2 linked regions of the Drosophila melanogaster genome follow. Changing the gene in region 1 together with any one later gene gives a genetic interaction. Each region holds a gene or a part of one and is shown in the gene's direction. Other genes may lie near its edges.

The links. Genes that interact genetically often act in the same process or in processes that back each other up.
Region 2: of Hr38 (region 1) and Ask1, changing one suppresses a phenotype caused by changing the other (phenotypic suppression), as found in Drosophila melanogaster (one study listed by BioGRID).

The regions. Positions count from the first base shown.
Region 1 is NT_033779.5:20,710,545-20,717,085, reverse strand, and holds the start of Hr38 (hormone receptor-like in 38), read left to right. Parts: upstream 1-2,497; 5' UTR 2,498-3,616; coding exon 3,617-4,049; intron 4,050-4,785; exon of another isoform or gene 4,786-5,884; intron 5,885-6,079; exon of another isoform or gene 6,080-6,541. UniProt on the Drosophila melanogaster protein: Binds to NGFI-B response elements. Plays an important role in late stages of epidermal metamorphosis.
Region 2 is NT_033777.3:19,876,992-19,885,747, forward strand, and holds the start of Ask1 (apoptotic signal-regulating kinase 1), read left to right. Parts: upstream 1-2,727; 5' UTR 2,728-2,932; coding exon 2,933-3,052; intron 3,053-3,124; coding exon 3,125-3,319; exon of another isoform or gene 3,320-3,891; coding exon 3,892-4,070; intron 4,071-4,492; coding exon 4,493-5,390; intron 5,391-5,446; coding exon 5,447-5,785; intron 5,786-5,851; coding exon 5,852-6,654; intron 6,655-6,717; coding exon 6,718-6,864; intron 6,865-7,204; coding exon 7,205-8,104; intron 8,105-8,164; coding exon 8,165-8,437; intron 8,438-8,502; coding exon 8,503-8,740; 3' UTR 8,741-8,756. Other genes in the region: CG17186 (uncharacterized protein), read right to left, coding at 1-291, 351-426; Arc42 (Activator-recruited cofactor subunit 42), read left to right, coding at 887-920, 1,008-1,217, 1,286-2,259.

The DNA.
Region 1 (6,541 bases):
AGCTGGCCGAAACAGTGGCTTAGAGTCCATATGATTTGGAGGCGGTTTCTAGAAAGCTTAATACGCCATGGAACTACTAAAACTCTGACCATTAACATCCACTAATGAGTAACGTGGATATTTCCATTTCTCATATTACAATGAAATGAATATAGAAATGCCACTAAAGCTGCTTTTAAGATTATAGATATAGATTATAACAAAAATAGATAAAGATCGGGAATAAACGGAGTAATAACTAGGAACACTACTCATTACCTCTAGTGGTAGTACCACATTATCCTAGAAACTACTTCTTTAATAGCCATGGAGAGGCATCATCCTTTTACGAGTGATCCACAGCCACTGTGCTGAATGCACATGGTGCCTGCCACAGACCAGTTCCACTTGCGTCGCTCCCAAATCCAACTACAATAATATATATGTACATGGGAAGCCACACCACAGAGCGGCACATTACAGCACACCGCACCCCGGAGCCACAATGGGCCGCAGTGTGAGCCGGACCCAGAGCCGCGAGACCCGGGCAAAAGCATTATGGGAAAAAATGTAGCCGAAAACGAAAGGAAGAGCCACTGCGCCCAGAAAGCCAAGTCGCTCGGCTCTGTCGCGGTCGACGCAGCAGTCGGCCGGCCGACTCAGCGATCTCACGTTTTGTCTGCGGCTTCCACATGGAGAGGCCCAAGTGCACAGCCCGCGATCTCCGGTTCGTACGCTAACAACAGTTAGAAAACGTGGCTTGGAACCTGTCTAAAAATAGCCACAGCGAATGCAGTCCAGCACACGAGCGGCCGACATGCCGACAAGCCGACAAGCCGAATGAAAACGAAACCTTAAACGCCAGAAGACGTCGCCGCCGCAAAGACGAGTCTGCGGATCCCGAAGATTTGGATTTGGGTTCGGGTGCCGAGCGCCAAGACTCTCACTCTCTGTGCAGTCGACGCTGGCAGCGCGGTCGACGCCGCGTCTTCGGGTTTACCGTTCTCTAGTCGTGTGTCGCCGATCTTGGGAGAGAAGATTTGTACTGGCTTTGCGTTATTATTGTTTTCCTCGTTGTTGTTTACGAGCTGCAAACGCCGGTGTCAATGGTAAAGTGCATTAATATTCCCGCTTTTCCGACGGCTCGCGGGGCGGGAAAATCGCTCGGATCGTGTTATTGCCAGTTATATCGGCCAAATGATTTGTGGCGCAGCTTATTTATATTTGGGGATGAGGAAAGAGTGATCTGGTTTATGAAGTGGCAGGATGGTATTTTGTTAAGTGGAAAAGCGAAATTGGCCTGGGATCTTGTGTGAAATCGATTTGTCTTAGCACTTGGAGTGAAATAGGGAATAAAAGCGGGTAACTGAGATAAATATAAAATCGTGATTTAAGTTGAAAGGAAAACCAGACTCATTTCTAGGCTAAAAGTCCGTTTTGCATATCAATTTCAATTTGAAATATTTATAGCATAATTATAAATTATATTATATAGCATAAATATAAACCAAATTCAAAAGTAGTAAATCACTATAAATAGAATATTGAATTCTTGCCATATGATACTTGTTATTCTTTTCGAAATTTCTATCTTCCTATTTAACATGATAGCTTTACTTTTCCACCCACGCTCACCATCATGGGATTGACTCACATAAACATATTCCTCGAAATCTGGTCCATTTTCCTTTGCTTTGAATACACCCACACACACGAGAGCAAGGAAGTCCTTTCCACCAAAACGACACCACAGAATGCCCACACAGACTTAGTACACTGAGAAGAATATGTAGTTTAAGACAAACAATAAAAAAACAAACAACATTAAAAACATGCTTTTTATAAATGCATTAGAGTACAGTCTACACATGGAAAAGAGATTGATATTTAAAGACAAGTGTGTAGATGATGTACAATGTGCATAAGGGAATATTCCTACAAATTGTACGTCCTTATATATCCTGAAATTAATAAACATGTTTCCTGTGTACGATAACTGAGAGAAACGGAAGTTTTGGCAGCAGGCGAGAAGTGGATACCCAGTGGGCGGTTGGAAAAGCGGAAAAGTGGGTGGCGGAGTGGTAAGCCGGAGCAGGTGAAACGGCACCAAGAGCCCCAATCAATCTCAGATGCGAGCAAAAGGGATGGCCAACGTCGGTTTTATGACGCACATAATTTCCGCTTCCGAACTGTCCCACTGGACTGCATTCGGAAAATCGGTCGCTGAAAATGGGTGGAGGGGATTTTCCGGCGCAGGCGCTCTGCCAACGACGTCATCGATTTTCCTCGCACGAGCTGCGCTCAGTTGTTGGCCCCAAATGACGTAATAGCCGGGCCGCAAAGGTAGGTCGTGTCCCGCTCGCTTGCCGTCGCCCCTCCCTCTCCATCGCACACTCACTCTCGCTCTCACTCGCTCTCGCGAGCGCAGCACGGCGCCAGCTGAGGCAGCGCTGTCGACGCGACGCGTTGAATATAGTCGCGTGTAACCGTAAAGATAAGTTCAGTCGCGTCACAGACGCCGCATTGTTAACAACTTTAGCCCAAACAGCCACCGCTCACGGAAAAGCCAATACAAAATATAGAACTTATATCGAGGCGAGCTCGATGGTTCTGAATTTCCGATCTTAAGTCAGCCAACTAAGACTTTAATCCACACAACTATATAAACATCGCGTTCAGTATTAACGAAACACAAAGCCAACATAGGTGTGAGTGCTCAAGAGTTAAACAATTGCAACAAGTTGTTGTTCTTTATCGATTCGTGCATTCGTTCTATGCGGAAACGGAAGCCGGTCGACAGCGCGGCGTATGCGTAATAACTTCCAACGGTTGACAACGCGGCGTATACTTCACCTTTACCTTTCTTAAGCGAACAATGCATATATTTCGGTGGGCAACGCTGCGTATGTTTGTTTAATCTATCTTACCCCGCTGCGAATGTGCAGTAAATTAATCTATAGTAATTCAAATTTCGTTTCATTTCTGAGAGACAAGACACAGATATTTTTGAACTGAAAGTTTTGCTAACATTTTAACGAGCACGTGAGCTGAAGAACAGTAGTAATTGTTTTTGTGTTGCCCATTGCGCGCGTGTGTGTATCAGTGTGTAAAGTGTAAGCAACGTCCTTGTGCCTCCCACTACTGCAACTACCACAACCGAATATATATGTATATGTATATAGAGACCCCAGTTGATATAGTATAGCGTGCGTAAGTCGTTACGTCGCTTACATCGTCACTTGGCCACTGCGCAAACGCCGGAAAAAAGGAAAGGCAACAAGAAAAAAGCCAAAAAAAAAAGGAGGCAAGTTCAAGTCTAAGGACACACAACAAAAACAACAGCCGGGCAAGGACAGAAAAATGAAGCCCGATAATAACTACTGCAATCAGAGCTACTGCGACAAAAGCTTCGGCCACTCCTGCCGCAGCCAAGAAAATTGAGGCAAAATCCCAGCCCAACTCGGAACAGTCGTGCTGGATCACCAGCGCCGCTCGGGGCGCCAAACAGGTGCCTATTTAGAAACCATATAGTGTGTGATCTGTGTTGTCCCGTCCTGTGTGCGTTTTATGTTTGTGTCCCATCATCACCATCAACATCATTGTTAATTTTGGGTTCTTTAACGGAGAATCGTGGTCTATGATGCGCGATCGGCTTGCCTCGCTGATTGTGGTGAAGCAAGAGGGCGGCAGCAACACGAGCATTAGCCACCACCAGGCAACGGCCATTAAGTGCGAGGCCTCACTGTACACCGAGAGCAGTTTGTTCCAGGAGATCAACAACAACTCCTGCTACAGACAGAACCTCAATGCCCCGACACACCAGCAGTCACACACATCACACCTGCAACACGCACAGCAGCACCAAACACACCAGCAACATCCCCTCTTGCCGCCGCCTCTGCCGACTCTGCCTTTGATTTACCCCTGCCGCAACCTCTTTCCCGACGGTTGCGATATCAATCACCTGGCCTGCTGCAGTTCCTCCAACTCCAACTCCAACTGCAACTCAGACTCGAACTCCACCTCCAGCTCACCCGGCAACAGCCACTTTTTTGCCAATGGAAACACATGTATGTATTTGGTTTTCCCTTTCGGCTTATCGGTGTTGGTGACTTTTTCGTTTTTTGTTTTTTTGTATTTTCCAAACTCAAACGCCGCTGTGGTGTTTTCTTCTAATTCGCTAATAGCACACGCGGCGTATACGCAATGTGCAGCGCGCATTGCCAAATCGGCCAAGAAGCTAACTGTTTGCTCAATCCGTTTGAGAAGGCAGGTCGGGAAAAAATCTGAAAAATGCAACTTGAATAAAAAAGGGGGCGTGGCTGGTGGGGGTAGGTTGGACAACGCACAATGACGACATAAATTTGCATGAAAACTGCTCAAAATGCATCATAAAAATGGTGAAAATATTAAGCTTCCATTCGCAAAATACGAGAGCAACCACAGTAGAGGTCAAGAAAATGAGGCAGAGAACTTTAAAAATTCTTGGATTATGATTCAAAAATGATTTAACAATTAAAAAGTTTAAGCATTTGGAGTACTATTAAAGGCAGCTCTAAAAATGTTCGGTATAGTTTTTTTTTAAGCACATCAGAATTAGTTTCAAGCTATCATTTGCATTAAAAATTGTATGCTATGAAATTTAGTGCATTAATAAAATTAATTGTATAGTTACATCAGAATTAGTTTCAAGCTATCATTTGCATTAAAAATTGTATGCTATGAAATTTAGTGCATTTGCATAAAATTAATTGAGGCAACTATACCGAACTGTAAAGACGGGCTTAAATCAATTACCACCACTTTGACCTTAGTTGTGTGTGCAGACCCGTCTTGGCTCTCGGTGAGCATGTGCTGCTGTTTTTGGTGTCGTACACATGTTTACCAGCGTCAGCAAAGCGCCGCAGTTTCAGCAGACGGCAGCGGACGCAGCCTGACGCAAAATGATTTACAAGCTGCACAATAAACACCGCACACAGATGCAGTGCGTCCGATTTCCACACAGATACTCACTATCGACGGCTAGGGATGGCCAATGCATTTTTATTAATAACCGCATAAAAAAAACATCGCCGATTGAAGCTCAAGCATGGGAAAGATAGATCGATCATTTCATTGCCGAGTGGGTGGTTGGTTCGGTGGGTGGTGTTAGGGCGCCCGGCGGTGGGGCATCCGATTATTGGGCTTACTAAACGGCTTGAAAGGCTTTGCCAATTCATTCGCTGCGGCAAAGTCGGTTAGCCACTTGTTAGCCGCTTCTTAAGCGACTGTATTTTGCGGCTAACTTAGCGCCCATTAAGTGTTTCCCAGCAATCAGCTTTTAAGCACTCTGCGGTTAGCGTTTTCAACTGCAAGTGGGCCATGTGAGCCTTCAATTCACAGGAATCTACTATATGCACATTCTAAATTGATTTAATTGTCAATATTACAGAATGATTATCATGCGCTACATATGGATAGGTATCCTTTCGATAGTCTTCGGATAGGTTTTTTGAAACAACTACCCAAGTAGAAAATTAGTTTCTATGGTGAAATGCAGTTAAACACTAAACCGAGGGTTGCCAATCGATTGCAGAAGTGAAAATGCAGGGCGAAATGCACTAGACTCAGTTGACTATTAGACGTGGCAAAACAAACATCTATATTTATAAGTTGGCTATATAGTACCATAATGGCGATGGGCGCCAAAAGTGCCCGACATCGGATGACAAACCAGAGCAAAACAAATCGCCGAAGAACATATGACCAGGTGAGGTGCATCCACTAGTTGTGGTATATAGTATTTAAGCCATGACGCCAGCGGGGCCATGAAATCGGCCAGTTTAACGGATTAGGCGGCACACAGTTTTCACATTACGGGTGTTTTCCCGAGGCACGAGTGCTGAAAACGTCATCGTCGCGCCGAAAACGAAAATATATGACGAAACCGTGAAAAGATTGCACTCTCTTTGCGTCAGCTGCATCCCTAAATGTGTATCTATTTATATATATATATATATATCTCATAATTGGTTCGATTTTATTTTCATTATATTTATGGCTGGCCACGTGCTGATGACGTCTTATTTCGGGGATGAGTTGGCTGTATGCCTGCAGTATTATCACAAGTCAGCGTATTTCTTATTCCTACGACTAGTCACATTTCGATTTTGTTTTTAGTTGTGTTTTTGTTCGATGCTCACGGCGGGGCGTGTGAAAACACTGTTGCTTTTACTCTTTTCTTTCCGATTTGCCTTGATTGCTCATACGCCCCGTTCAACATGGCAACATCTCTTGGGCGTAGCCAATTGCATTTCAACATGGCCCAAAGCGACCCGGCAAAAGGTCCGCCCGAGCCGCACATATATAGACGTTCGATGCACTTGGCCAGGGATCGAGATGATCGCGGCTTCCCTTACTGATTAACCCCAGCGAAACGAGCTTGATAAATGATGCAAAACACAAAATACCTAACTACTCACATATCTATGACACCCGAAAAAATTTAGATACAAAATATATCGTAGCCCCTTCATTGTGTAGTTATTCACGATCCGTCGTGCGTTGTGAGTTATCTCCGCGG
Region 2 (8,756 bases), on another chromosome or scaffold:
ACTCCTCCTGCTCCTTCATTATGTGGCGCCTCGACTCCTTGTGCCGGTCGAAGCAATACCGTTTGGCGGTCTTGTAGCCGCAGACGTTGCACGAGAACAGTGACGATTCCACCTCAGACTCGGAGTCAGAGCAGGACTCCAGCAGCATGTGCTTTTGCGACCGCCTGTGGCGCCTCAAGTCTCTTCTCCGGTCCGTGGAGTAAGTGCAGCCGTTTATGTTGCAAGTCAGTCGCTTTATCTTCACCGCCTTGACTTGCTCCTCCTTTCTGGGCGCTTGTTTTAGGTGCAAGTCTGTAAAAAGCGAAATCAATCGTAGTTCAGCCGGCATTTAGGTATTCATTGGTACTCACATTCCATTTCGTCCTCGTAGATGAAATCTAGAGCCTCTATCGTCAGTGTTTCCGTTCTCTGGCATGTCTGCGACATATTTCCCTCGTTTGGTCTGCGTTCTTTTAATAATAACTAAACAAATCAACAATTATTTGATGGTACCAACATTATTTAGCTTGAAAATGTAGAATGCACGCGAGAATTTACGAATTTGGGAATTTAGTATTTTTCAGGCGGCATGTTGGATCTTATTTCCGTGCACCTTAGGAATTATGTTTATTTCATTTTAAAAGTACCCATCAGTGTTTTCGTATGAGTGAAAAGTTAGTAATTTTTAATTTTAATTTTAAATTAGTAACAAGACGACTTGTTAAATTCGGGACAAGAGTCACCCTGTGATGAACCACTTGTTACATGCAGATGCAGCCGGTGACCTCCTCTGGTCACACTGTCCATTTTTAATTTTTTGTAATAGTAGAGTTTTTTTTATAACATTTTATCCGTCTTTTATGCAATATATTTAATTATTATTAGTAAGAGGCAATCCCACACAAACATGCAATCAGTACTCACCCGCTCGTTATGCATTGGTAAGACAAACTGATGTGTGGACTTTGAGCCCCAGCCATTTAAATGTTTTCTATAAGCAAGATCCTAAACCAGATATTGATATTCAGCCCGCAGATCTTTAAATGCTCGTCAAATTGCCTCATTGTCGGCGCTTTCGGAGACGCACCAGATGCTGCAGAAGTCCTGCCGGGACTTTGCCAACAATGAGCTCAGTGGAAACGCAGCCAAGTTCGATCGGGAGCACCTGTATCCAGAGAAACAGATCCGCCAGATGGGCGAACTGGGCGTGATGGCAGTAGCGATTCCCGAGGAGCTGGGTAATTAATATTACGCCCACCTCAGCCCTCCTTATAGTATCTCATTGTATCTCTTTATTGTTAATCAGGCGGCACTGGACTGGATTATGTGGCCTACGCCATTGCCATGGAGGAAATCTCAAGGGGCTGTGCCTCTGCTGGCGTCATCATGTCGGTGAACAACTCCCTGTATCTGGGACCGCTTCTCTCTTTCGGAAACGATGCCCAGAAGAAGGACTACATCACACCGTTTACCACCGGCGAACGAGTGGGCTGCTTCGCGCTCTCTGAACCTGGAAACGGATCCGATGCTGGAGCTGCTTCCACCATAGCAACCGACAAGGGAGATCACTTCGTGCTGAATGGCACCAAGGCCTGGATCACAAATGCCTTCGAGGCGGAGGCAGCCATTGTGTTCGCCACCACCAACAAGCAGCTGAAGCACAAGGGCATCTCCGCATTCATTGTGCCCAAGGCTACCAAGGGCTTCTCGCTGGGCAAAAAGGAGGATAAGCTGGGCATCCGGGGATCTTCGACGTGCCAGCTAATTTTCGAGGACTGCGTGGTGCCCAAGGAGAACATGCTGGGCGAGCCGGGTTTCGGTTTCAAGATTGCCATGCAGACGCTGGACGCCGGCCGCATAGGAATCGCTGGCCAGGCGCTGGGCATTGGTCAGGCTGCCCTCGAATTGGCCGTGGACTACGCCCAGAAGCGACAGGCCTTCGGCAAGCCCATTGCCAAGCTCCAGTCCATCCAGCAAAAGATCGCGGACATGTCGTTGGCCATGGAGTCGGCACGTCTGCTCACCTGGCGCGCCGCCTGGCTGAAGGACCAAAAGCAGCCCTACACCAAAGAAGCTGCAATGGCCAAGCTGGCTGCCTCGGAGGCGGCCACCTTGTGCTCCCACCAGTGTATCCAGATCCTGGGCGGAATGGGCTACGTGACCGACATGGCGGCCGAGCGTCATTACAGGGACGCCCGCATCACTGAGATCTACGAGGGCACCTCCGAAATCCAGCGACTGGTGATCGCGGGCTCCATTCTAAAGGAATATGCTAGTTAAGATCAAAGTTATATATCCGTACTACTTGTGTCTCGTTTAATAAAGAACGTTTTTAATATACTATTTTGCTAGTTCTATTGAGTTGTATAATTGTTTATAATAGATAGAAATACATGAAAAAAACACCTACAACATTTTAATTCTTTAGAAAAAGTTAGCAAAACAATAAATCTTCGTTCAAAAAGTAAAGTAAAATAAGTGAAACTCTTGACTACTTTTTAGACGTTGCATATTTGTAAATTAATTAAAATAATGAACCTTAAGTGCTTTTAAAATATATTTATAAACAAAGCTTATTATTTTATATGCCTAATTATATTATATCTTTTAAACCAAATTTTAAATGACTCAAAAAAATGGGAACTTGGCGCCAAAACTGCAGCAAGGCTTTGTCGGTTAGCATATTTGTGTGGTATTTTTGTGACTTCATTCGGTATATTGCTGGTAGCTGTGCAGCGGTCACACAGCAAAAGCAAAAAGTTTCTTTATTTATTTGATAATTATTCGTTACGCGGTAATTAACGCGATGCAAGTGCAGCAGGAACGTGGTAATGAGAGTTTTTGCCACTGAGCTGCGCGTGTCGGCCGTCCAGAAAGTGCAGAAATCGCGTGAAGTGCGCGAAATCCGTCCAAGAGCAGAAAAGTGCCAAGAATAGCTGCGATGGAAACAGCGATGGATGTGGTGTGTGTAATGGATACGGCGGTGGGCGACCATCTGGAGGACCGCCAGTGTGCGCTGGAGGAGATCAAGCAGGCAGTGCAGTCGGCGGGCGCCAACTTTCAGCGGGTTCAGGTGCGCCAGCTTGGTTATACAATGGCATATGGGTGATTTGACTTACATCCCCCCCACTTGGCATCCTTGCAGTTCGAGCGCCTGGACTTCGGCGAGACGAATGTGCTGGAGACGTTTTACAACGCCGATGTGGCCATTATCGACCTGAGCATTCTCACCCAGCAGCGGCCGCTTTCCTATCACTACGGCGTTAGGGAGAGCTTCGGGATGAAGGAGAACATCCTCACCTACAACGACATCGATTCCAAGCAGACGCTCAGTCTCAAGGTGCGTTCGGAAGTGTTTACCTGGCCGGGCGTGCCTGGCAAACATCTGCGTTCGTGATCGGGAATCCGCTTCCGATAAGATAAATGCTATGACCAGCAACTGCGTGGACTCCTGGACTAGTTGTTCTTGCTGATCTTTCTACAGTCGAGCTTCCACAACGCGAACTGAGTTTATAACAAGTCTCTAACCTAGGTGCTTAGACACCTCTTTCTGGAAAATGACTAAAAATTATTCTATCTACTAGTCTTCCTTTAGCAAATTGCAAAAGAAACCGAAAAACTTCCTCTTTCCAGAGGTTAATAACTAAAACCTCTTTCCCATATGGCAGCCAATAATTTGAACTATGGAAGTTCGACTGTATTTCCGTCGAATCGTTTTCGTTATTTTTGTTTTGGCTGCGGCCATAAAGCAACAAAAGCATTGGCCCAGCAATAACAATAACAAATGCGAGCACGCCCACGCAAACACTCAAAGAGGCACGCACACACTAACAGCACGGTGTACACCAACGCAGCGTGGCCTGCATTCACAGTGGCGGTCATTAAATTAGGTACACTCTACTCCCCTTGCAGCTCTCGTGTGCCAACTACCTGTTTCTCAGCTACAAGCGGAATGCGGAGACCAATTCCTGCCACCTGACCAGCCAGCCCAACAGCGGCAACAACAGCAAGGAACCCAATGCCGAAGGACGAGTGCCCACTTTGCAGTGGCGCCTCAAGCGAAAGCTGCAAGATGTTGAGATCCAGTCGAAGTGAGTACAATCTAGGGAGTCCCCTTTTGCAGTAAGTCATGCACGGTGATTGCATATCGGAACACTATTTATAACATCCCCTGCGGCAGATTGGCTGCAAAAGTCACGCCCTGCATCTAAAATGAATCAGACCGATTTATTGTGTTGGCCTTGGAATTGCATATAAAATATCAATAATCGCTGAAAATTCTTAAGTCTCTTTATAGTATCATAATTGTCCTTTCAATTTAAATTACTTCGAACTTTAGTGATACTACTACGGGTTAACAAGTAATGAAATGAAAGTAATTGAAATCTTAAATTTGGTGTACCAGATAGATGCTAAGTTAATTAGTCTTTCAGCCAGAGCACGAAACACTGTTCCTATTATGCATTATTTGTGTACCTAAAAACTAAACGAAGCTATTTTCGGTTATTTACAGAGCCCACATGCGTGAGAAATTTCTGAGTGACATGCGAACGGCGCGGGACACGTACGCCACCAACGGCGCCAAGCTGCAGAGTATATTGCACGAGATGCGAAAGCGGCTGGACGATCCGCATGTCCTGTCTGGCGAAGTGGTACACAGTTTCATGTGCTCGCTGAGGGATGTGCAGGACTACGATGCCATGGTGCGACTGGTCAATGACCTGAAGAACATACCCAACACCCGGAAGTACGTGGAGACGGGCAACATGAGTTTCCTGTACGCCTTCGCCCTGAACCGAAGAAATCGAAAGGGAGACCGTGAAAAGGCTCTGGAATCTTCGCTGAAGGCGCTGGAAAAGAAGGAGAACCACTTTCCGGACATGCTCTGCCTGTGCGGCCGCATCTACAAGGACATCTTTGTGGAATCCGACTACACGGACGCCACCAGTTTGGCGCACGCCATCAAGTGGTACCGCCAAAGCTTTGAGGTGCAGCCGAATGAGTATGCAGGCATCAATCTGGCTACTCTGCTGGTTATCGAGGGCAAGGAGTTTACCAATACGGAGGAGTTGCAGCACATCGGCATGACCTTAAACAATTTAATCGGTAAAAAGGGCAGCCTATCCTCGCTGAGTGAGTATTGGGATGTGGCCACCTTCTTTGAGATCTCCGTTTTGGCCAACGACTACGCCAAGGCGATTCAAGCTGCCGAGTGCATGTTCAAGCTAAAGCCACCCAACTGGTATCTGAAGTCGACCATCGGAAATATCTCTCTTATACATCGATTTCGAAAGAAGCCCGAGGAACGCCAGCCGCCCATCGAGGAGCAGGTGTTCCAGTTCTGGATGGACTTCTTTCTGGAGGCCACCAACACCGAGGAGGTTAAGAACAGCATTCGCTTTCCGATTCTGGTTGGTACCCCTGATCTGCAGTTTAAGCTTTATTATTAACTCAAAACAAATTCCAGATCCTCGAGCCTCAGAAGATTTATATGCCCAGTTATGTGACTATAAACATGGATGCGGATGAGAAGTCCATTCAGATTGTGAACATCTGTTTGGCTCACGCAAAGAATGCGTGTAAGAAAATCCACGACTTCCTTTTCGTGGCATCGAAGATCAAGTCCGTCAGCCTTTACAAGAGGGATGATCGTTGTGCCTACTTGTACGTCCATCACAACTCAGATGATTTTCAAATATATTTTCCCTCCACTGAACGACGACAAAAGTTCTACGATATGATCCTGGAGATGACTGCAGATCAGGTGGTGTTTGTCAATCTCAGCAATGATGACGCTAATATCGAGGTAAGTTATTTATTATTCATATATACATATATTCCGGCCACTTTTGCTAATTATTATTAATTGTAGTACGAGTACGACTACGATGAGCAGAATCGCAAAATGGTGCTGGGCAAAGGTACTTATGGCACCGTGTACGCCGCCAGGGACAAGCAGACGCAGGTGCGAATCGCCATTAAGGAGGTGCCGGAAAAGAACTCGCAGGATGTGCAGCCACTGCACGAGGAGATTAAGTTACACTCTCAGCTGCGACATCGCAACATAGTTCGCTATTTGGGATCGTGCTCGGAGAACGGCTTCTTCAAGATCTTCATGGAGCAGGTGCCGGGAGGATCGCTTTCCGACCTCTTAGAGACCAAATGGGGTCCGCTCAAGGACAACGAGTCCACCATGGCCTTCTACTCCAAGCAGATCCTCGAGGGGCTGAAGTACCTTCACGAGCAGGACATTGTTCATCGCGATATAAAGGGTGACAACGTGCTGGTTAACACGTATAGCGGCGTGGTTAAGATCTCCGATTTCGGCACCTCCAAGCGGCTGGCCCGCATCAACCCGATGACGGAGACCTTTACGGGCACCTTGCAGTACATGGCGCCGGAGGTGATTGACCAGGGAGTACGCGGCTATGGCCCGGCGGCTGACATCTGGTCCTTTGGATGCACAAACGTTGAGATGGCTACGGGCAAACCACCGTTTATCGAGCTGGGTAGCGCCCATGCGGCCATGTTCAAGGTGGGCTTTTACAAGAAGCATCCGAACATACCCGAGGAGCTGTCCGCCAACGCAAAGAACTTTATTTTGCGTTGCTTTGCCATCAGCGTGATGGACCGACCCTCCGCCTCGCAACTTCTGGAAGATCCCTTCCTACAAGAGTGAGTTTGCTTAATTGTTTTGCCTAATTCCTTTCTAATTGCACTTTTAATTTTCTCAATAAGTAAACCCCGCAAGGTGCGCCCAGCCCTGCCCATCAATACTGAGTTCGGACGCAGCATTTCGGTGCCGGCTGATCGGTTTGTGCACAAAACCACACCGCCGCTGAGCTACAACACAACCTGCAATACGCCCACAACGCCGGAATTGGAGTAAGTTAAACGCTGCGACTATTCTTATCATGTTCGACCTTCCTCAATTACAAGCAGAGGTTATCTTATCTGTTGAAAATTATCATTTATATTTTGCTAATTTTAATGAATATAAAAATTTTTCCGTGCTTCTCTATATTTTCCCATATCGTCTACTATTATAAGAGTAACAAGTGCCTTTGCTTATCGTGTAGTTAACACATTGATTGTTGCTATCAGTAAAGTGCATATTTAATGATTGGAAAATGCGCACTCGGATTTTGATACTGAGAAGAGATAGCACTTGATGTATTGTAAAATAAACGTAATTTTATATTGTACTTTCTGTTTCCTATTTCAGCATAACGCATTCATCCTCGGTGGACATTGACGAGCTGCCCAGCAACCAGTTTATGCTTGAACGGCGAAATTCCCATGGATTTTTGCTCTCGCCAGAGATTGAACCTTCCACGCCGTCCTTGCGTACGAGCATTAGTGAGACGAGCGAGACTGACGGTTTTTACAGGCTTAAAAAGGATTCGCAGAGGCGGACAACGCTTTCCAAGGTGCTGGCACTAGACGAATCCAAGATCTGCGATATTTGGCTGAAGAAGGTCGACGCTGATCAGAACTCGATTGCGATTAGGAAAAGCGATTTGGAGGTTCTAATCCGAGGACTGCGGGACTACATTATGAACGAAAACGAAAAGCATTTGGAAGCGACTATCAACGAACTGAAACAAAAGCTGAACAACGACGCAGTTGCTCTGGACCATCTTCATTTGGCGCTGTACTCCTTTCAGGACGCCGTGGTCTGCGTACTGCGGTACCATTGCATCAAACCCCATTGGATGTTCGCATTGGATAATCTGGTTAAGCGGGCCGTCCAGGCGGCGGTCACTATTTTCTCTCCTGAACTGGGCGCCAATCTGGCGGACAAAGACCTGTCTGGAAATGATGATGAGAGCTTGCGTACAAGTCTAATGCAGAAGGGTTCCACCGAGAGCCAGGAAAAGCAGAGCCTGGAAAAAGTTCTTCCCACGAGCAACACTCGCGAAGGTGTGGGATTAACGCCTGCGGAATCGGGCGGGGATGCTCTGTCCAGTTCGATGGAGTGCGCGCGCATCCTGAGAGACATCCGTGACAATCAGCAGAAGCTGCAACGCCAGCTCCTTGAGCAGCAGCGGCAGAGCATGAGGGCCCTGCATAATATCAGTCAGGAGCTGGCTCACATTTACATGGGCGGCAGAAAGAGATTAAGGTTGGTAAACCAAGTAGGACATTGTAAATTTTATTATAATTCACAATTTCATCTTAACAGACGCACAATAAACGGCTTTAACAAAAAGTGCCATAGAATGAGTACCAGTGTGGGCGGAACGTCCGGAGTCCGTCCGAATATAGCGGGCAATCCCCGGAGGCAGCTAAACAAGCATCACTTTGGTCTTCACGAAGTAGACGAGCAGTTGGAGCAGTGGTTGACCCAGCAGGAAATAGACGAGTTCTCAAAGACGCTCATCCTGAATGAAGGTTTTACATTTGACGACTTTATCTATAACATGGAAAAGCTGGACCTCATGAGGCTGGGTCTGCGGTGCGTTAAAGCTTATAAGAAAAGTACACTTAATCCATGCTCAACTAACTTTTGGTATTTTGCAGCGTTGGCATCGAAGTGCGTTTGTGGAAACTCATTATACAAGAACGTGTGTGCACCTCGTCCGATTGTGTGGACAGTCCACCAAGCACTTACCACAAACCCATTGGAGGCAATAGCTCTTTTGCGCTTATTGACAACAACAATACGCTACCATCACCCACAACCACAACTCCCGGAACGCCGGGCATCAAAACGAAAATCAAGAAAAGCGAAAGCGAGTACGATTCGTGCAGCGAGTGACTGGAGTTGAAAGCTT